Xenopus tropicalis: one gene and its partners. The protein of the gene in region 1 binds, or shares a complex with, the protein of each later gene. Links are inferred from orthologs where the notes say so. Each region holds a gene or a part of one and is shown in the gene's direction. Other genes may lie near its edges.

Evidence for each region.
Region 2: the proteins of rpa1 (region 1) and helb are in contact, whole or in part, in a crystal structure (PDB 7XV1), measured with the Homo sapiens proteins. The link is inferred for Xenopus tropicalis from reciprocal best matches to the Homo sapiens genes RPA1 and HELB. Residues at the interface, in NP_002936.1 of Homo sapiens: Asn29, Ile30, Arg31, Ile33, Arg41, Arg43, Leu44, Leu45, Ser54, Ser55, Met57, Ala59, Thr60, Gln61, Arg81, Ile83, Asn85, Leu87, Arg91, Val93, Ile95, Met97, Glu120; in NP_001357214.1 of Homo sapiens: Glu496, Glu499, Val500, Lys502, Ala503, Cys504, Asp506, Phe507, Glu508, Asp510, Asn512, Ala513, Glu516, Trp517, Thr519.
Region 3: the proteins of rpa1 (region 1) and etaa1 are in contact, whole or in part, in a crystal structure (PDB 8JZV), measured with the Homo sapiens proteins. The link is inferred for Xenopus tropicalis from reciprocal best matches to the Homo sapiens genes RPA1 and ETAA1. Residues at the interface, in NP_002936.1 of Homo sapiens: Arg31, Ile33, Thr34, Pro39, Arg41, Arg43, Ser54, Ser55, Met57, Asn85, Leu87, Arg91, Arg92, Val93, Ile95; in NP_061875.2 of Homo sapiens: Thr599, Trp600, Glu601, Ala602, Asp606, Asp607, Leu609, Leu610, Tyr611, Ala613, Cys614, Asp615.
Region 4: the proteins of rpa1 (region 1) and dna2 are in contact, whole or in part, in a crystal structure (PDB 5EAY), measured with the Homo sapiens proteins. The link is inferred for Xenopus tropicalis from reciprocal best matches to the Homo sapiens genes RPA1 and DNA2. Residues at the interface, in NP_002936.1 of Homo sapiens: Asn29, Ile30, Arg31, Ile33, Arg41, Arg43, Leu44, Leu45, Ser54, Ser55, Met57, Asn85, Leu87, Lys88, Arg91, Val93, Ile95; in NP_001073918.2 of Homo sapiens: Glu6, Leu7, Glu8, Leu10, Met11, Lys13, Ser14, Phe15, Trp16.
Region 5: the proteins of rpa1 (region 1) and rad9a are in contact, whole or in part, in a crystal structure (PDB 8JZY), measured with the Homo sapiens proteins. The link is inferred for Xenopus tropicalis from reciprocal best matches to the Homo sapiens genes RPA1 and RAD9A. Residues at the interface, in NP_002936.1 of Homo sapiens: Asn29, Arg31, Ile33, Arg41, Arg43, Leu44, Leu45, Ser54, Ser55, Phe56, Met57, Asn85, Leu87, Lys88, Asp89, Arg91, Val93; in NP_004575.1 of Homo sapiens: Asp297, Phe298, Ala299, Asn300, Asp301, Asp302, Ile303, Asp304, Tyr306, Met307, Ile308, Met310.

Annotation. Positions count from the first base shown.
Region 1 is NC_030678.2:36,031,582-36,035,094, reverse strand, and holds part of rpa1 (replication protein A 70 kDa DNA-binding subunit), read left to right. Parts: intron 1-1,381; coding exon 1,382-1,456; intron 1,457-3,309; coding exon 3,310-3,436; intron 3,437-3,513. UniProt on the Homo sapiens protein: As part of the heterotrimeric replication protein A complex (RPA/RP-A), binds and stabilizes single-stranded DNA intermediates that form during DNA replication or upon DNA stress.
Region 2 is NC_030679.2:58,060,702-58,064,660, forward strand, and holds the start of helb (DNA helicase B), read left to right. Parts: upstream 1-1,152; 5' UTR 1,153-1,210; coding exon 1,211-1,442; intron 1,443-2,677; coding exon 2,678-3,004; intron 3,005-3,959.
Region 3 is NC_030681.2:30,919,082-30,923,269, reverse strand, and holds the start of etaa1 (ewing's tumor-associated antigen 1), read left to right. Parts: upstream 1-1,376; 5' UTR 1,377-1,409; coding exon 1,410-1,488; intron 1,489-3,000; coding exon 3,001-3,141; intron 3,142-4,188. UniProt on the Homo sapiens protein: Replication stress response protein that accumulates at DNA damage sites and promotes replication fork progression and integrity.
Region 4 is NC_030683.2:40,341,786-40,345,298, forward strand, and holds part of dna2 (DNA replication ATP-dependent helicase/nuclease DNA2), read left to right. Parts: intron 1-947; coding exon 948-1,094; intron 1,095-1,924; coding exon 1,925-1,969; 3' UTR 1,970-3,513. UniProt on the Homo sapiens protein: Key enzyme involved in DNA replication and DNA repair in nucleus and mitochondrion.
Region 5 is NC_030683.2:57,498,396-57,502,557, forward strand, and holds the start of rad9a (cell cycle checkpoint control protein RAD9A), read left to right. Parts: upstream 1-1,358; 5' UTR 1,359-1,399; intron 1,400-1,737; 5' UTR 1,738-1,814; intron 1,815-4,162. UniProt on the Homo sapiens protein: Component of the 9-1-1 cell-cycle checkpoint response complex that plays a major role in DNA repair. The 9-1-1 complex is recruited to DNA lesion upon damage by the RAD17-replication factor C (RFC) clamp loader complex.

The DNA of each region.
Region 1 (3,513 bases):
ACTGTTCATAATGTTGGTTGGAGGTTTCCAGTAAAGGTTAAAATCCAGTTATGTGTTATATCTTGCAAGTTAACAGTAGTACTCTGGGTTCAGCACAAATAGAATTTTTAATTTCTTTTACGGATTTAGGAAAAGTATTTATCTTTGTGTCACCACCCTGAAACCATAAAATCTTTAGCAATAGAGCCTCTACCCTGCAAGCCTTTAGTGACTCAAGATATTTGCCACCTGTTCAGAAAAATTATTAGGTCCATTAACCTCATTTACACGTTTGATAGAATTGTCAGATTCGTGCTGTGAGTTTTATTTGTTTACCGGTCCGTATTCCTGCTACTGTTCTTGGCAGTTGAACGAATGTGATTATGTATTGATTTTGAACCCCACGATAACTCATCTGCGACTGTGCTGTCTGCATATTGCTACATCTGTTATTCAAAGCCATCTGCTTCCTTGTGTTACAGAAATGTATCATTTTAAGTTGTTACCTTTGAAATAGAATGTGACGTACATTTTAGGGTGGCTTCACTGTTGAGTCATTTTCATGTGGCAACAATCGATAATGATTAAGACTAAATTTTTATTATTATTAAAGTATAGAATTTAGATCATAAGTGAATAGCCAAGGTTTGAAATATTATACTTATAGGGAAGATATAGACTTAATGGCTATATTAAAAGGTCAAGTTCACCCCCAAATTTGTCTTGCATAATGAAAGAAAATGTAATTCTAAGCAATTTTCCAGTATGCATTAATTAAAATATTTCAAATGATCTTGGTTATCTACAAATGTTACAGCAACTGAATGAAATTTGCTCCTTACTTTGCTTTTGCTACTTGCTCTGAACTCAAACCAACAAAAGCTTTTCGGTTGACTCTTTTACGCCAGGATTCCCATTCCTACAATGCTGTACATGTTCTGTAGGTAACAGACGTGAGGGTGAGGCTAACTAGGGTGCAAGGCATTGTGGGAAATGGTGCTTTGGCTACAGGAGAGCTGCTTGTTTTTAACGTGCCATCAGGTTAGGTCCATTCAGCAGTATAGTGCTGTCTGTATTTTTGTATGTTGCAAGCCAGTCTTAGGAGCATCTCCTCCATGTACTAGTGTGTTCATTTGGAGAACTGAATATTTATTGCAGGTGTCATATACTGAACCTGAATGTGAGAGTGTCTAATGTTGCTATAAATGAATGCTACTTTTGATAGGAGACTTCTCATAAAGGACCTTGTAGCCTATATTCATTCTTACTGCCTGTTCTACGTTACAACTCACTTGTCATTATTGCTTGTGCTGGAAGTACATTTTTAGAATGTGTTTACTATACAGGGAATGTTTGTCATCTGCCATCTGGTATGGTTTTACAAAGAGTTGATATTTTTCAGGGCAAGGACCACCACAGCCTGCTGCACCTGCTCCAGCTTCAGCCCCACCGCCTAGCAAACCACAGAACATTTCAGGTAAGCCTAAATGTAATGTGAAAAATGTTCTCCTTTATTCTGTAAAATGAACTGTACAATTTCTACTTTGGAAAGTACCCAGACATCATTTCAGTCAGTACTGGGGGGCTGGAAGAATTAGTGAGGAGAGTGTTGAATGCAATTTTGGGTTATTTGCAGATTTTGTACTCTGCTGTTAACTTGTATACACATGAAAATTTTTTTTGTAGTAAAAGTGTATTGTAAAGTATTGTTCTGCTGTTGTATGGCAACAAGGTCCGTATCTGTTAGCAGAATTGTATGTGTTCCGCCCTACTACAAAAAAATACATTAAATGATTGCTTCTTTGTTCAGGATTTCCATGTGGCTAGCAGTGAAAGGCATTTAAAGTAGGCAATGCATTTAAAGTACTACTATAATCTTAATGGAAAGTTTCTGAATTTGGCCTGTGATCACTTGGCACCCTACACAGCTTCATTGTTGAAGGGCTTTGCCTCGCATCAAATGGGGGCAACTCCAAAACTAGGGTTGTGGCTGGCCTAGTTCTTTAATATTTTTACTTAATAATCAATGGCCATTCTTACAAACCAACTTTAGTATTCCGCCATGTTTTGTATTGCAGGATGTTAGCTGCACCTGTAAATGGAAGCTTTGGGGCAAACTTAAAAAATGGTCATTCTCTATGGAAATTACCTTGATTATTCTGTATATAGTGCTATGTTTGTGTGCTATGTTTACATCCTTTGCTAAAAGTGATCACTTTATAAATTTAAATGTCATTTTATTTAAAAATGTTGCCATTATAAAGCACTTATATTGAAACTTGGTCTATTTTCATTGTATTACCTTTTATAAACAGGACAATTCGCTTAAAGCTCCCAATCTTTCCTTTAACAAAAAACCCCTCCCTTCTTTAAGCAGCAGTCTTTGAGCAGCTTATTATCAGGGGGTTTCTGTTTTATCACCTCCTCTAAGGTTCTTTAGTACTTGCTGTCACTTCATGATTCCAAAGTGAAACTGGCTTCATATTTCTTGTTCAGTACCATAAATAACAGCAACTATAGATTCTTAATTCCAGACAATAGGCAAAGAGCATGTTCAGCACAAGCCCTGTTCATTCAGCTCATGTTGAAAAGTGGCATATACTGTCCCTTTAGGGCTCTGGCACATGGGGAGATTAGTCGCCCGCGACAAAACTCCCTGTACGCGGGCGACTAATCTCCCCGAGTTGCCTTACCCTGCCATCCCACCGGCGAAAATGTAAATCGCCAGTGGGATGGCACACGCGGCGGCGCATATCGCCGAAGTTGCCTCGCGAGGCTTTCTAGGCGATTTGCGCAAAATCGCGCAGCTGCATGTGCCATCCCACCGGCGATTTACATTTTCGCTGGTGGGATGGCAGGGTAAGGCAACTCGGGGAGATTAGTCGCCTGCGAACAGGGAGTTTTGTCGCGGGCAACTAATCTCCCCGTGTGCCAGAGCCCTTAAGTGTAAAGGCTACATGCTAAGGCTGTGGAAGCCTTGTGGTTAAACATCCAGAGATATACAGTGGCCCTTTCTAAGCTGAATTCCCCATAATTATCTGCATTGCAGGCAGCCTTACTGTGTATGTGAGTATGCTATCTAATCTTCCTCTGCTAGGCCCCTGGATAGCTCTTTATTTTATCTGCATGATTCCTCTTGGGCCTTGTGGGCTCTTTAGTTATTTTTACTTCAATGTATTATGGAGACATAAAAGCTTATGCGGTTTCTGACTGGAGGGTTGACCAGTGCACTTTTGTTATGTGTGTCTAATAGTTCTACATCTTTAAGTACTCTGTTTTACTTTGTAATCATCCCTAAGAGTTTGCTATGGATTTTTTTTCTTCCCACAGCTCCTCCTCCTCCATCAATGAACAGAGGAGCATCTAAATTGTTTGGGGGGGGAAGTGTTGTAAACACACCTGGGGGCTCTCAGTCCAAGGTAGTGCCTATTGCAAGTCTCAATCCTTACCAGTCCAAGTAAGTGCCGTTCTCCTCAAGGGTTAAACTTTTATTTGCATTATATTGAATTGTTTTTGCATATAATCTGTTTTACA
Region 2 (3,959 bases), on another chromosome or scaffold:
GTCCCTCGTCCTTTGGGTCCCTAACTGAGTGAGGTACTGCCGGGACACAGGTCTCTCTCATCTCGTTGGAGCCTCCAACAAATATAACCTACCACTATCTACCTAACTAGCTCTGCCAGTTACCTCTCTGAGATGGCCTAACTCAGGCTCCCTGGTATCACATATTATCCTCTTCTCATCAGGTAAAGAGAAAGTGTTATACTGGCTTTCCCCTTTTATAGCTTCCCCTGCCTGAGAGAGCCACCAGCCAGTGGGGGCACTGGAGGGGGTGTGCGGTGGGGGTAAAGGGCACAGAAATAGGGGTAAGTGAAAAAAGAGGGACCTGCCTGGTGCCCACCTACTGTTGCGCCCTAGGCAGGTGCCTAGTGAAAAAGTGCAATTGAGAGGCCTGTCCTTGCAAAAGCCCTTGTCCTAATACACTCATCCTGTGCTCCTCTTACAGCATGCTATAAGAATATTTCAATAGATACAATGGAGAGAGTCAGAAACGGAACTTTGCTCTGGTTTCCATTGTAAAGTATATGTCTTATATTAATTATTTGTGGAGGCACAAGGCAGCCCTGTCCTTAGCTATACCACTACAGGGATTCTTTGATCTCACTGGTACTCCCAAACTTGCACATCTGAATGACAGGGAATGGGATAAGTTCTGCCTATGTGCTTCCTTCCACTTGATCCTCATAATGGGAGTTGCAGTACAGAAGTGTCTGGAAGGTTACACAATTCTGATATTCCCGTATTATTAACCTTGTACTCCAAATACTGAACTCATATTGTGTTTATGAAATGCTTAGGCTACAATATGTCATAAAATGGGGAGGGGCCACCCTTTCTGGTTCTGAATTTCCAGCAATGTAAAATAGAATTTTTAATTACTAAATTTAGTATGTGTGTATGTGTGCGGTCAACAAGTTAGTGTAGTTAAAGGATCAGTAACACAAAAAAAAACATTTTTACGCATGCACGTAAGTACAGAAGAACCAATGTTCATTATAATGTGTCGCGATAGAGCCGGAGCCATTATTTTTATCCTGTTCTTCAGTTCAGAAATCAGCTTTAACACTTAGCATACATAGTTACAGTTAGGATGCTGCGAATTACCATTCAGAGCAAGCAGGGCAGAACTAGCCGGACCTGCTTCCCCTTACTTCCGCCCTTACAGTGATGTCATTTCTCGGGAAAATAAGGCGGATCTTTGTGAAACTCAAAAATGAGCGCAAAGCTTCACCCGTCCCGCTCGCTGAGTGCCCGGGGGCGCAGAGGGGATGGCTGCACGGTGCTACAGGGCCGTCTGCTGCCAGTGAAAGATGGGGAAGTGGCGCACAAACGGGAGGAGAGCGATCCCGATGACAGCGATGGGGATGATCCCCAGTTCATGGATGCCAGAGAGATAGAAGGAGGGGGCATGGTGGTACAATCTACCCCGCTGCGCAGAACTGTGGGTGGGTATATTTTACTGCTTGGGCTCACTGTTAAAGGAGACATAGCCTATAAAAATTATGAATGTACCAGTGACTTATACTCCTCTAGATATAGAAGGATTGTGCTTAAAAAAGTTGTATTTCACACTTCCTGCTGGCTGAATTCTCTGGATGTGCAGGGGAGCCTCTCAGCACACTGCACTGTACCATAGGAACCAATCAGCAGCTAGGCTGACCTGATAGGGAACTGAAGCCCGCTGTGCTTGTGACTGCAGGGCTGTGATTGGCTCTCCCTCTCCTGCTGTGCTTCTGGTAGGGATTTTAGGACACGCCCACCCTTTATTTCATACATTGTCAGAGAACTGATAGGATCTGTAGGGAGCTCCAATAAAGGAGTCATTTTTACAGATAGGATTAATTTGAGCACCATATATTATTCATAATTGCCTTCAAAATTTCACATTTATCCAATATGTCTCCTTAAAGATGACAACCTTCACTCCTGTCGCTAATAATGATGGCTGGGATCTGAGAACTAATACTGGGGCATAAAGCCCACAGTAATCATATCCCTTTGGCACCTGGCCAGTTAAAATGTTAAAAGTAACTAATAGCGTATGACGATAATAGGCTTTGGAATATTGATTCTGCTGTTACATTCGTTGAAGTGTGTAGTCAGAACCAAATTGCAAAGTTATAACCTAGACATGTAATGTCGTTTGGCATATTATGGTCTGGTTTAGCACAACTCACCTATGGCACTTTGTCACATGGTATCTCTGTTCCAGAATGTTTGGGATATGGGGATTTCTGGATAAGTGGCCTTTCCATCATTTTGATCTTTATGCTTCTACATAAGTCTGCTAAAAATTCATTTGAGTTAATGCCACTACAACGTCAAGCACTTATGTTTCAACATTTTGCTAAGTATTGATAAGTTATAGAACTGCACTTATTCAGATGGTTCTTGCTAAGCGTGTAAATGCTATGCCAAACTCGCCATGAGGCTCATTGCAGATTGAGTGTATTTTCTCTATATACAGTTTGCAGACCGTATATTGGTATCTATTCCTGTGCCACAGCATAGTTATATCAGCCTTATGAATAGTATGTGCAGGACTGCAGTCACTGGTCCCTATCAAGATGGCCTAGGGGAGTACAGTTGTGCCCGTACTTATGTGTTTACCTTGTGGAGCGTTCAGATTTTAATGCATGTTAGTTTTTTTGATTACGTATTTTTTTTTCTTTTTAAATAGTGATTATTAAAGATAAATATGGACCTGAATATCGAGTGAGTGGATTTTTTCCATTGGTAGATCCTTGGTGGTCTGTAAAACTAAAAGTGAAACGTGATGGGACGCAGTACTTTGCACAAGGATATCCTTCATACGCTCTTGAGAATGACATGAGCAAGGATATACTTTCTCTTTTCCTCCATGCCTGTAAAGTTCATGATGATACAAAACAAACATTTATCAACTGGTTACCAAGTGATGCAACATTGACTTTTGACAACCTGAAAAAACTCATAGAAGAATTTCAGATGAACAATTCAAGTAATAAAATAAATATTGAAAGTTCAGGTAAAAAAAAAAAAAATTATTTTCAGAATAATGTGACTGTTGCTGTTCTCCAGACTGTATTTTTGATGCTGTAGATAACATGTTATAAGGTCTGGGGTGGGGATGCAGAACAATGGTTCAATTGACAGAATTTGGAAGGATCTATCAATTGAACCATTGTAATCAGGAAAACAATATCTATATGTTGATTAAGTAATCCTGGAGTTTGGTCACTCTTTAGTACTTATACTATACTTAAACGTATTAATTGTATGTACAAGGAACACCAATTCTATATGTAACATGGGCAACTTTTAAAGGAAATTACTGTAATAGACTTCACAAAACATAGACATTATTTAACAGAATCAGTTACAATTTTAGGCTGCTGCCACACAGATGTTTTCTCTGCCTGCATATAAGCACAGGCCAAGAAACTGCACTTTTGCTCAAATCTGCCTTATGTTGCGTTTGCAACCAGAGGCACTGCTTCATTCTGGGGGAAGACACAGTAAATTTAAGTAAGAAAATGCACACTCAAGCATTTTGGTGCTGAAGTCTGCTCCGTGTGTCTGCACCCAGGTTGATGCATAAAGCAGATCAGAGCAGAAGGTGGTTTCATGTCCTGTGTTTATTTTTTGGGAACAGTTTCCTGTTGGCAAATGTTTGTGGATAAAATAGATTATTTTGTCCTTTACATATAGTATTACTGATGTGGGTATTTCATTATTATCTGTAAATTCCAATTGCTTCCAGACCTGAACAGTGATAAAGGGTCCCTCCCTTTTGGGCAGAAGAGGGAGTTAGAATTGTAAAAAGTCTCCATATCGTATCCATCCTGGTGTTATAACAAAACTGCCAATACAAGTATGGATAATTAGACAGCAACACAATGAGACATTAACATTGGTCAGAGAAAAGGTAGAGAACAGACTGAATGATGTTATCCAAATTCTTCTGTTTGGTATCTGCTGTT
Region 3 (4,188 bases), on another chromosome or scaffold:
AGCTCTATGGGAGACTTTCCTTGGGCCAGGTTGGAGCTGCAGAGTGCCATTGAGCTCTATGGGAGACTTTCCTTGGGCCAGGTTGGAGCTGCAGAGTGCCATTGAGCTCTATGGGAGACTTTCCTTGGGCCAGGTTGGAGCTGCAGAGTGCCATTGAGCCCTATGGGAGACTTTCCTTGGGCCAGGTTGGAGCTGCAGAGTGCCATTGAGCCCTATGGGTGACTTTCCTTGGGCCAGGTTGGAGCTACAGAGTGCCATTGAGCCCTATGGGTGACTTTCCTTGGGCCGGGTTGGAGCTGCAGAGTGCCATTGAGCCCTATGGGAGACTTTCCTTGGGCCAGGTTGGAGCTGCAGAGTGCCATTGAGCCCTATGGGAGACTTTCCTTGGGCCGGGTTGGAGCTGCAGAGTGCCATTGAGCCCTATGGGAGACTTTCCTTGGGCCAGGTTGGAGCTACAGAGTGCCATTGAGCCCTATGGGAGACTTTCCTTGGGCCAGGTTGGAGCTGCAGAGTGCCATTGAGCCCTATGGGTGACTTTCCTTGGGCCAGGTTGGAGCTACAGAGTGCCATTGAGCCCTATGGGTGACTTTCCTTGGGCCGGGTTGGAGCTGCAGAGTGCCATTGAGCCCTATGGGAGACTTTCCTTGGGCCAGGTTGGAGCTGCAGAGTGCCATTGAGCCCTATGGGAGACTTTCCTTGGGCCGGGTTGGAGCTGCAGAGTGTCATTGAGCTCTATGGGAGGCTTCCAAAATCATGCTAAGTCTGAAAGTTTTGCCCGCAGGTTACGAGCGCTCAATACGAAAAAGTTGCGACAAGATACGAGCATATCGTAACGGCTACGAAAAAGTGGCGACTATTCGTGCAAGTCGTAACGGCTACGAAAAAGTCGCGACAATTTACGAAAAAATCGCAAAAAGTACGAAAAACTCGCAAAACGTTCGTTTTACAATCGGAATTTTTCCCATTCGGATTCAAATTCGTGTCTTAGTAAATCAGCCCTATAATGTGTATTGCCCTTTAGTGAGGCAAAGACTCCAGTGGAAGCCATTGAGTTATAGCCAGTACCCACCTGGCAAAGAAAAAATGTAGGTTATTTGTTCTATTGAGAAAACATAAAGTGCTAAGTTTAAGTCATATATTTGTAGCTGAGTCAGTGGGCATATTATTGGGAAAAAAAACCCAAAATACATAGAAAGTAGCCACAGCCTGCCATACACACAGCAAACTACCGGCTTGTCATTACATAACACATACAGAGGATTGCCCTCATTCCCTAACAAAGCTGTACGTACCGCGTCACCGCGCTTATAGACGTATTCGTGCGCCGCACTCTCGCGAGATGAGACTTGTGACGTCAGTACTCGGTGCCAGGCAGGAGCTGCTGAGCTGGATGTTACCGGAGTAGCGGGATGTTTAAGCAGCGGTGCGGGGCTGCGGGCTGTGTAAGGAAAGTTGGGACTGCCCCGCAGGAAGCGGCACTTTCCGGGGGTAGGCATTTCTCTGCAGCGGTTCGCTCTCTATTGTAAATGGGTTGAAAGACTCTACTTCCGGTGCCTGGAAGATTGTAAATCTGCTGCGGGTTTATGTGCGGAGGGTAAAGCTGCTCTGTTAGTTTTAAAGAAAAAATCGCTTATTTAGTTAGAGAAGAGCGTTTCACTGCTGCCAGTGTTGGTATCGCTGTGCCCTGCCCCCATCCATCCCTTAGCCGCAAGCCAGGGGGACCCTGAACCCCAGGAGAGCTTCTGGGGAGGGAGAGATTTGTACCTAGAGGAACAGTCCCTATGGCCGTCCTCTGGAGTTGCCTCTGTGCAGGACAGGCCTACCCTACTACTGACAGCCTGACCTGCAGACGTGCATAATAAGAGTCCTGCCATCTCCTTGGTTCTTCTGTACTTCTTCCCTTGGTCTAAGTCTCATATACATTATAGGAACTTTTACTTTACTTGGATAAATGGGAAAACCCTAACCCTGTAGGCAGTTATGAATAATATATGGTGTTGGTTTCACTTTGGGCTAAACATTATTGGAGCTCCCTATAGATCCACTCAGGTCCATATCTGTGTTTCAAATGAAGGGTGGGCGTGTCCTAACGGTCCCTGCCAGAAGCACAGTAAGAGGGGGAGAGCCAATCACAGCCCTGCAGTCACACAAGCAAAGACAGGCTTCAGTTCCCTATCAGGTCAGCCTAGCTGCTGATTGGTTCCTATCCTACAGTGCAGGGTACGGAGGGCCGCCGGCTCCCCAGCTCATCCAGAGAATTTAGCCAGCAGGAAGTGGAACAGATGGGCGGGGCTAGTGGGGTTTTGGGCGAATTTCTCAATAAATCAGTCAGAAACACAACTTTTTTAAGCACAATCCTTCTATATCTAGAGGAGTATAATTCATTGGTACATTCATTATTTTTATAGGATATGTCTCCTTTAATGAAAGGAGAAGGAAAGCCTAAGTCACTTGGGGGTGCCAAATGTTAGGCACCCCCAAGTGACTTTAATCGCTTACCTTGTATCCTGGGCTGGTGCCCCTGTTAGGAGAAAACAGCACCAGCCCGGGGTACCTGCAGGGAGTGTTTCCTCTTCCTCTCTCTTCTGCCGGCGAAATCCGTGGGCCGGCGCATGCGCAGTAGAGTGAAAAGCCGACTTTCTTGTTTAAGTTTGGCTTTTCACTCTACTGCGCATGCGCGCGCGGCGCTACAGGAAGGAGGAAGCGCTCGCTGCTACCCCGGGCTGGTGCTGTTCTCTCCGTACAGGGGCACCAGCCCGGGGTAAAATGTAAGCGATCTAAGTCACTTGGGGGTGCCTAACATTTTGGCACCCCCAAGTGACTTAGCCTTTCCTTCTCCTTTAAGGGTACTACAGAACATGTACTGTATTTGTAATGCAATATAAAGATATAATACTGAGTTCTGTCAGTTTTTGATTCATTCATATACAGCCCATTGTGTTTCTAGTGTGATGAGTGCATCGCTTAATAGTGTTTGTTTCTCTTTAACCGTTCCCGTAGAATCAACTTCGTACAAGAAAACTCCAAAAAGGTTGTCTAGAAGCAAACACTCCTCTCCAGCTTTCAATTCTCCCTCCAATGACATTGATCAACAACATGAAATCTTTTGGGATCCATATTCGCCGACAGCGTTTAAAATCGGTAATGTTTGCTGCGTAGGCATATTGGTAATGTTTTGTGCATAGGCAGATTTCATACACTGTCTGAGCAGACTTTCTGCAATCCAATAGTAACAAATACACCCATACAGTTGGGCATTAAGGTTAAATTCGATCAAATTTTCAGGCCAAACTGGTCATATGTATGCAACTGTGTCGCTGATTCCTGTTTTTGCTACAGGTAGCACTGTTACTAGGTTTTCTCGAGCATGTTTTAGAAACTTCTAACCGCCATATTATGCAATTTTCTTAATGGAATTAAAGTGACAGATAAGTGGTGCTCGCAGTTTTCTGAAAACCTGCTTTGTTAAAAATCTGCTCTCACCGAGGTTTACAATTAGCTGTTTCACACACATATTGGGAATTTAATGTTACCTGATGGCTAGGTCCCATTTAACCTGGCAGCCAGTGGCCTAAATGACGTACCTGGAAAAAACTAATCCCTAAATAAATAAGTAGTAATAAAACCTCACTGATCTGCTTTGTTTTAGTTAGTTTACCTTTCAGTTAACATTTATTAGGATGTAGCCAGTGATATACTTAGACAATTTGCAATTAGTCTTAAATCTTTTATTTTGTGGATTTTAAATATTTTAACTTTTTTTTCAGCAGCTCTCCAATTTAAAATAACAGCGATAATAAAATTGCCAAAATAAGGCAAATAAAAACAATAAAAAATGTAGACCAACTGAAAAATTGCTAATAACATGGCATTCTTTAATTCACAAAACATTAAATTAATGGTGAACTACGCCTTTAAAGAAACACTAACTATACATTTGCTAGCGAACGTGATGCTGTAATATAGAAGCTCTGCACCTCTTATATGTGGCTTGGGGATAGTACCTCTGTTCCATTACATATTGGCAACCATACCACTTGAATGCTGAATGGCTGTTTATTTTATTAGCTACATAAATCCTGGTTTTGGTATTTTTGGAGATAATGTTGTACATTGTAGTGTTCATATATAAATAGAAATACAATGCTATAGGCACAAAAATGCCAGTGCAGTTATTATTGGGTGGAA
Region 4 (3,513 bases), on another chromosome or scaffold:
AGCACAGGCTCCCTCAGGTACCACCCCGGATGTTCTCAAGCCATAAGTCTCCTGGAGACTGTTGTCCAACCTCCTGTTTGCGAGGACATTCAAAAAACTGAAGTGCCTGGGATTGGGAAGGGGGTTATAGGGGTGGGAGGGTTACATTTCTGGCTCCTGATGGGAGGGGATTTAACCCCATGGTTTCTGGGTCCCCAAAAAATAGAAAAAATAAAACTGTTTGCTGATGCCGCTACGTAGTATATACCAGTGGTTCTCCAATCGTGAGGCTGGCCCCCATTCCTGGGCTTAAAATGAATTAGGTAGACTGGATATTAAAAGCAAAATGATGCAGCTTTCCCTAAAATTACCATAAAACCACCATTACTTGTAGTATGGCATGATTACAGCAATGTTTCAGACCAGGGCCGGAACTAGGTGTAGGCAGAAGAGGTGGGGTACTAGACACATGCCTTTCCTCCCCCCACCCCCCCCCCCCCCAGTGCCCACTGGTACGTTCACATTCACGCATGTGCATGAGGGGGAGAAGGGGAGCTGGCCACGTTGCCCAAATTGAGAGAGGATTAATAAAGTCAGCTTGAAAAAGTACTTATGTAGTGTGAAACATTGCTATGATCGTGCCATACTACAAGTAAACTCCCTACATTAGTATTTTAATTCTTGATTCCAGTGTGACAGTCACTGATCAGCACAGGCAAAACTTGGAAAGTATATGGCCGGGCCTCACATGGAGGCCATCAACAATGTTGTGCTACTCTGCAAACTGTTATTTTGCGGAAAGTAGGAGATGCAGTCGGGAAAGGGGCTAGTGATCCATGACCACACGCACATTTATAATATATTTATACATAAAATGGCAAATACGCTTTATAAAACTCCTCATGAGACAGCATTATTTATTTATTTTTTCTTCTTGATCTAACAATTTTTTTTTGTTTTTGGAGCAGCTGGGAGACCTTTTAAAAGACTGGAGAAGGCTAAATGTGGCGCTGACACGGGCCAAACACAAGCTGATCATGTTGGGCTGCGTTCCAACCCTTAGCCGCTTTCTTTGCCTGGAGCAGCTGATATGTCATCTAAAATCTAAAAATCTAATATCCTTTTTAATTTAACTATGCAACCTGTGGTCTGGCCCTTCACCCAGTGTGGTGCTGCCTTGCATTTTAGGCCTTATAGCATGAAGGATAGCTGAACATCTTCATCAAAACCGAATTTAGCTCAGTTAGTCTCAAGGAGAGTGTTTTGACTGAGCTAGGTTCCAAACATAGTGGGGCCCTGCAGAGCTGTATTTGTGAATAGGAAGAGCAAGCTAGGGCAAGATGGCAACAGTTAGAGGCTTATTTAAAAGCAATCTCATTTTAGTGGTTTTAAGTATTTTTAAAACTACGAATAAGCTCATTTTCTCTAAAACCACAAATTCGAAGTTATTTATTCAAACAGCCTTTTGAAAAAACATTCAAAACAAGCGGATTAGCAAGATAAGAACAAACAGATTAGCCAACTTAAAATGGACAGCTGCCATTAATTTCTGTGCAACCTCAACAGCTTTTAGATGGAGTATTTTTACTTTCAGATTTGTTGCAGTTTTGACGCATAATAAATGCCGAGTCAGCTTCCTGCTGATTGGCTCAGATCACACATTCCTTATCGGGAGGAGTGAGTTCTTAGCATTCTTGAGGGAGAGGAGAGAGCTGTGTGTCTCTGGCACAGGAAAACCAAAGAATTCTGTTTCTTTTGACAGGGAAGTCAGTGCAGCGTTTCTGTGAGTGTTTATGGCTGTATTTACATAGACCTTTCTGATAAAGCTTAGTTTTTACCTTTCCTTTTCCTATAAGTGTTTATTTGTTGCCCCTGGCCCTGACAGCCTTCGTACCTACTGTATTAAGTGTTCTCTTGTTCTGTAATTTTTCCTTGACACTAGCACATTTATGATCTTCCAGCCGGCGCCCATGAGCATATGCCTGTATGAAGAGGCCTTTTCTGATGCTGTTAAGAAGCCATTTGTGCTCTCACAGGTGCCTTGTTAGCACTTGGAACGGAGGATGTTCTGGGCACACAATTCTTTTCATTGAACTCATGTTGAACAATTAGGGGAACTTATGTTGAACAATGTAGCAATTGGGGAAATGATGGCTTATTATACAGAGATCATTATTTAAATCTACAGTAGTCAAAGGGGGAGAGTAAGGGCAATGGCACGCAATGAGATATGTTGCTCCAGGAAAGTTTGCCCTACCCGCGGGTAACAGATCACCTAAAAATGCCTTACCATTCTCACCTTCAGATCTCTGCATGTAAAGCACATTACCCAATCACAATTTAATTGCAGAGAAATGTGGAAGTAAGCATATTCCAGCAATTAACTGGATTGCCACATGTAATCTGTTTTTTAAATGAAGCAATCTGAAGGTTAGTGAATTGCAAGGCATTTTGTAAGAGATTTGTTGCCTGGAGTAGCGCAGGTTTTTCCATGGGTAACAAATCTCCTTGTGTGCCATAGCCCTAAGAGTAATGAGAAAAATATCAATTAGCACTTTGAAGTAAAAGCAGTTTTGTTATTTCAGTTTCTCGTGTTAAATGAGTTCTATTGCCCCTTAATAATTTGCAGGTAGAAGAATTTATATATCAGAAGCTGACTTTGGGAAAGATTTAACAAACTGTATGATTAGAGCTCATTCACCCACTCTATTAATTCCACTGGGATTTTTTTGAAGCATATTTATCAGTGGGTGAAAGTTAGAGTTCACCATTTTATAAATACTCTTTTAAAAACCGATTAGAAATGAATAGAGAGTGGGCACATTTTTCTGTGGTGAGCTCTAATCTCACATTTTGGTAAATCTGCCCCTTAAAGTAGGCTGTGCCTCAGTCCTAAATTTTTTTAGTTTTTTTCTGTAATTGATTTGCATTTACTGTTTAACAAATTAAGGCTTTGCTTTCAGACACAAACCATTTAACCGTAGTTTGTTATATTGCTAGCATTGCTAAACCAGTCTAAATAAGCTTTAATATAGCAGCTCCATATCTGTATAAACACTAGATGGTGCTGTTTTGTTAGCTGTTTAGGCTAATGGCACATGAAGCAGTTTCGGGAATTTTTACCCACCACCCAAAACACAAGAAATCCAAATTACCATGGTGATGGCAGGTGATCAACCTAAAAGATGCAATTCATGAGTACATGGGGCACATTCTCATAATGACCATGTAGAATAAATGTAACTGTTTTACTTTCTTTGAAGAGAGCCCCTGTTAGAGTGGCTGTTTATTGTCATTTGTTTCCTTAGACTGGAACTGAATTGAATAGTAACAGTACAACTACAACTCTATTTTTACATTTCTAACCTATCCGTACCCCCCTTTGGTTACATATGTATCACTTGCTATCTAACTGATAGTGTTTATATGCCATGTTTTGAGCATGTGAGAAGTTTCAGCTGAGGCAAGCATCTGGTGCCTATTATTATATGCAGAGATAAAAGCCCTAGTACCCATAATATTGAGTTTATTACT
Region 5 (4,162 bases), on another chromosome or scaffold:
CCCATTTATAACTACAGACCTCACCTGCTGCCACAGCCCACTCACATCATAGGTAGGTCTAGTTTCCCTACACACTGCTCTAGAGTCAAATACCCCCACAGACATAAACCTACCACAGCTCATGTAATCTCACCACACACTGTACCTCCCCCACTAGCACATCTAAATACTTATGCCACCCATATTACTAACACAATCTCCCCTCAATATTCTGGGTAAAAAAAAAAAGCACAACCGAAATTTTAAGCAAATGTAGGGACCCATAGGGTTAAATGCCCTATGGAGTGATATCCCTACCTCTTCACATAGATCCCTTGTTACTGGAAGCCTTTGTAACAGTTTATAGTTATGCCTATACTTTATTGGCCCATATGGTTGTCCACACTCCTTGCAGCCTCATATAATGTCTAGCAAGGAGGTGTGGCTGCCTGTCTGCTTCCCAACAACAGCTCCATTGAGCCTGGGTGCAGACATAGGCCCCAGTAAGCCATATTCTTTGAAGTAAAGTCGGGGACAGGGCCCCGTGAACGAGGTAAAGTTAGTCTCAGGACTAGACTCTGTCATAGCACACTCTAGGGGGCTGATTTACTAATCCACGAATTCGAATGGGAAAAATTCGGATTGGAAACGAACATTTTGCGACTTTTTCGTATATTTTGCCTTCCACTTAGCGAAGGCCACCCCTTTGAAATAGAGTCCCAATGTGCCCCATGCTCTAACCATAGCCTGGCATTTAAAGTGCTTTTTAGCCAAAAAGGGGTTACATACACAAAACCTCCCCCAAAATTATCTAACATGCCAAAAACATAAGCACACTCCAAAACTCTTCCCCATAGTTTAAAATTGTGCAACACGTCAACCCAGCTGGAAAAAAAAAATCAATAACCACCCTTCAAAAAAATGCACACCCCCAAAACTCATCAGCACCCTTACCCCAAAAAATACAAGCACTCCACATATAAGCAGGCTCCAACAACCCCCTAAAATTAAGGGCACACACCTTACATAGAATAGATCCACAGCCTCCACTGAACATCAAGTGTCCCAGTATTCAGGCAACTGAATAAACTCCTACATTTAATTCTGTCCCAAGAAAAAAATAATGCTACCCAGCGCAACCCAATACTCAATAGCGCACTGTGACACTACTTTTAATGAGCCATTCTCTCCATAGCATCCCCGAGTAACCACCTATAATCTATTTACACAGGCATTTGAAGAAGGCGCTGAATGTTACGTGTTGGAGACGTCGCCACGTCTTCACGTGTTTGTGACGTCACTCACGGCCACAGGAACTAGATATATAAATGGCTTTTGGAAACCGTTTAAGACCGAGTCGGGACTGAGGGCTGAGTTAAGAGAAGCGGACCTGTCCAGCTAAAAGCGGGACTATTGGGCGGTATGTGAGCGGGGCCGACCTTTAAAATTAGTTGATAGTATATCCTTTTTCTGAAAAGGAGAACGTTTAGACTAAAGCGTAAGATGGTACAACTCGTTACTTTAAGACCAAAAACCTCCAAATAAGTTGTCTTGAATATGCCTTTGGATCAGCACGAACGTACATGCAGTCGTCATTTAGAGGCATTAATGCTTAACAATTTTAATTGGCTAGTTGTTAAAATTTGACCTACACGAATGCATTAATCCATAGAAATGCATATTATGGGTCTCTACTGAACTGGTAACAATACTTTCAAATACGCATTATGACTATTTTTTTAATTTTTTTTTTTTAAGCTGTAGTGCAAGAGGAAGTTCTCTAAATGAAGATTGAAGGGGTTCTCCTTTCAAAAACTTGTTTTGCTTATAGAAAGGTAATGCAATTCTAATTAACTGTCCAATATACTTTATTTACAAACTTTCAGTAGTTTTAAAGTGATTTGTTAATGTAATATCTAAAAAGCTTTATTTGTCTTGCTTACATTCTCTGCACTCCTGGCTTTGATTTTGGAGCAATAATACAAGGCAGCTGGATAAAAATACCTAGAGGAGACCTGACCCTGTAACATTGTTTTAAGAGTAAAGGTGGCCATACACGCACCAATAATATCGTACGAAACCTCGTTTCGTACGATATTCGGTGCGTGTATGGTATGTCGGCGAGTCGACCGATATCGCAGGAAGCTGCTGATATCGGCCGACTCGCCGATCGGACCAGTTTGAAAATTTTGATTGGGCGCCATAGAAGGCGCCTGACCAAAATCTCCCTTCAGCGCTGAATCAGCAGAAGGAGCAGAAGGAGGTAGAAATCCTATTGTTTCTACCTCCTTACCGATGGTTGCACGAAACATCGTCAGATTGCCACGTGTATGGCCAGCTTAAGACCCAGACAATAGAAAGGGATAGAGAATTACTGCTTTTATTTGCAATTCCATGTACAGGTAATATAGTGTAAGGTGCATAGATAGGGAAGAAACTTTGTGATGTTACATGTCTCTGTGTATTGAAATTGAATAAATGGGCTTAAAGGAAAAAGAAAGTCAAAGTCACTTGGGGGTGCCAAAATGTTAGGCACCCCCAAGTGACTTTGACCACCTACATTTTACCCCGGGCTGGTGCCCCTGTGAGGAGGGAACAGCACCAGCCCGGGGTAGCTGCCGGCGCTTGCCTCTGCCTGATTCGCTGCGCGTGCATGCGCAGTAGAGTGAAAAGCCGAACTTAAACTTTAAAGTCGGCTTTTCACTCTACTGCGCATTCGCCCACCGCTGGCATTCCAGAAACGGAAGCCGGAATAAGGAAACGATCCGCTCCAGGTGCCCCGGGCTGGTGCTATTTTCTCCTAACAGGGGCACCAGCCCGGGGTACGAGGTAAGCGGTTAAAGTCACTTGGGGTGCCTAACATTTTGGCACCCCCAAGTGATTTTACCTTTCGTTTCCCTTTAAATGAGAAGGAAAGGCTAATAGTTAATTTCAAGCTGCAGGCATACCTTCAGTTTTCTCAATAGTGCCTTTAAGTCCCCCCATATTTCTCCTGTTCAGATGATCAGAAACCTCATAGGAAAAAAAAAATCTAAGCTTTGAAAAGAAAGTTCCCATAATTCCTCACTCCTGGACCGAGACCATTGTACATGCTCAGTTTGTAAGACGATGAGGAAGTTTCCTACTGATTGGCTCAGATCACACATTTCTAAGAGGGGGGGGGGGAAGTGAGTTCTTAGCATTCTTGAGGGAGGGGGAGAGAGCTGCATGTCTCTGGCACAGGAAAACAAAGACAACAAATCCTGTTTCTTTTGAGAGAACTCAGTGCAGTGTTTTTATAGACCTTTCCCTTTCTGATAAATACTTTCAGCTTAAAGGAGACATATTGGAAACATTGAAAAAACCCCAATTTTGTAGGCAATTATGAATAATATATGGTGCTGATTTCACTTTTGGCTAAATTGAACACTGTCAAAAATGGCCCCTTTATTGGAGCTCCCTATAGATCATCTCAGGTCTCTGTCAGGACATGCCCACCTTTCATTTGAAATGATGTGATGTGCAGTGTCATTTTTTCATCTGACCAAGCTTCAACATGTTTTTTCTTTAGCAGTGGTGTCTTGCGCGTTGAGCCTGCAAAGAGGCCATGTTGGTTGAGTGCATTACTTATTGTTTTTTTTAAACAACTGTACAAGGTGTTTCTGAAGCTCTCCATGAGTGATCCTTGGCTCTTGGACAATTTTTCTGATTATTCTTTTGATTACTCTGTCAGAAATATTGGGAGGAACACCTGGTCGTGCCCTTTTAATGTGAAATGATGTTCTTTCCTCTTCCGGGTTATGGCCCCAACTGTGCTCACTGGAACATTCAGAAGCTTAGAAATACATCTATAACTAATGCCATCAGTATGTATTGCAACAATAAGGTTGCAAAGGTCTTGAGAGAGCTCTTTGCTATTACCCATCATGAGATGCTTCTTGTGTGATACCTTGGTAATGAGAAACCATTTATTAGGACTAAGCCAGCTGAAATTATTTTGCACTGATAGGGGGCAGGATTGCTTTCAAAATACTGACAAATGTCAGCAGGTTTCTTTGCTTTCCATGCCTCTTCTTCATGTGTTCAATACTTATTCCCTGTGTCATTCCACTTTATTACACATAACTTAATTTAAAGACTTATTTGTTTTGATTTCTTTGTATGTGTGGATTTCTTGGGTTGTTACCAATATCTGGTGTAAATT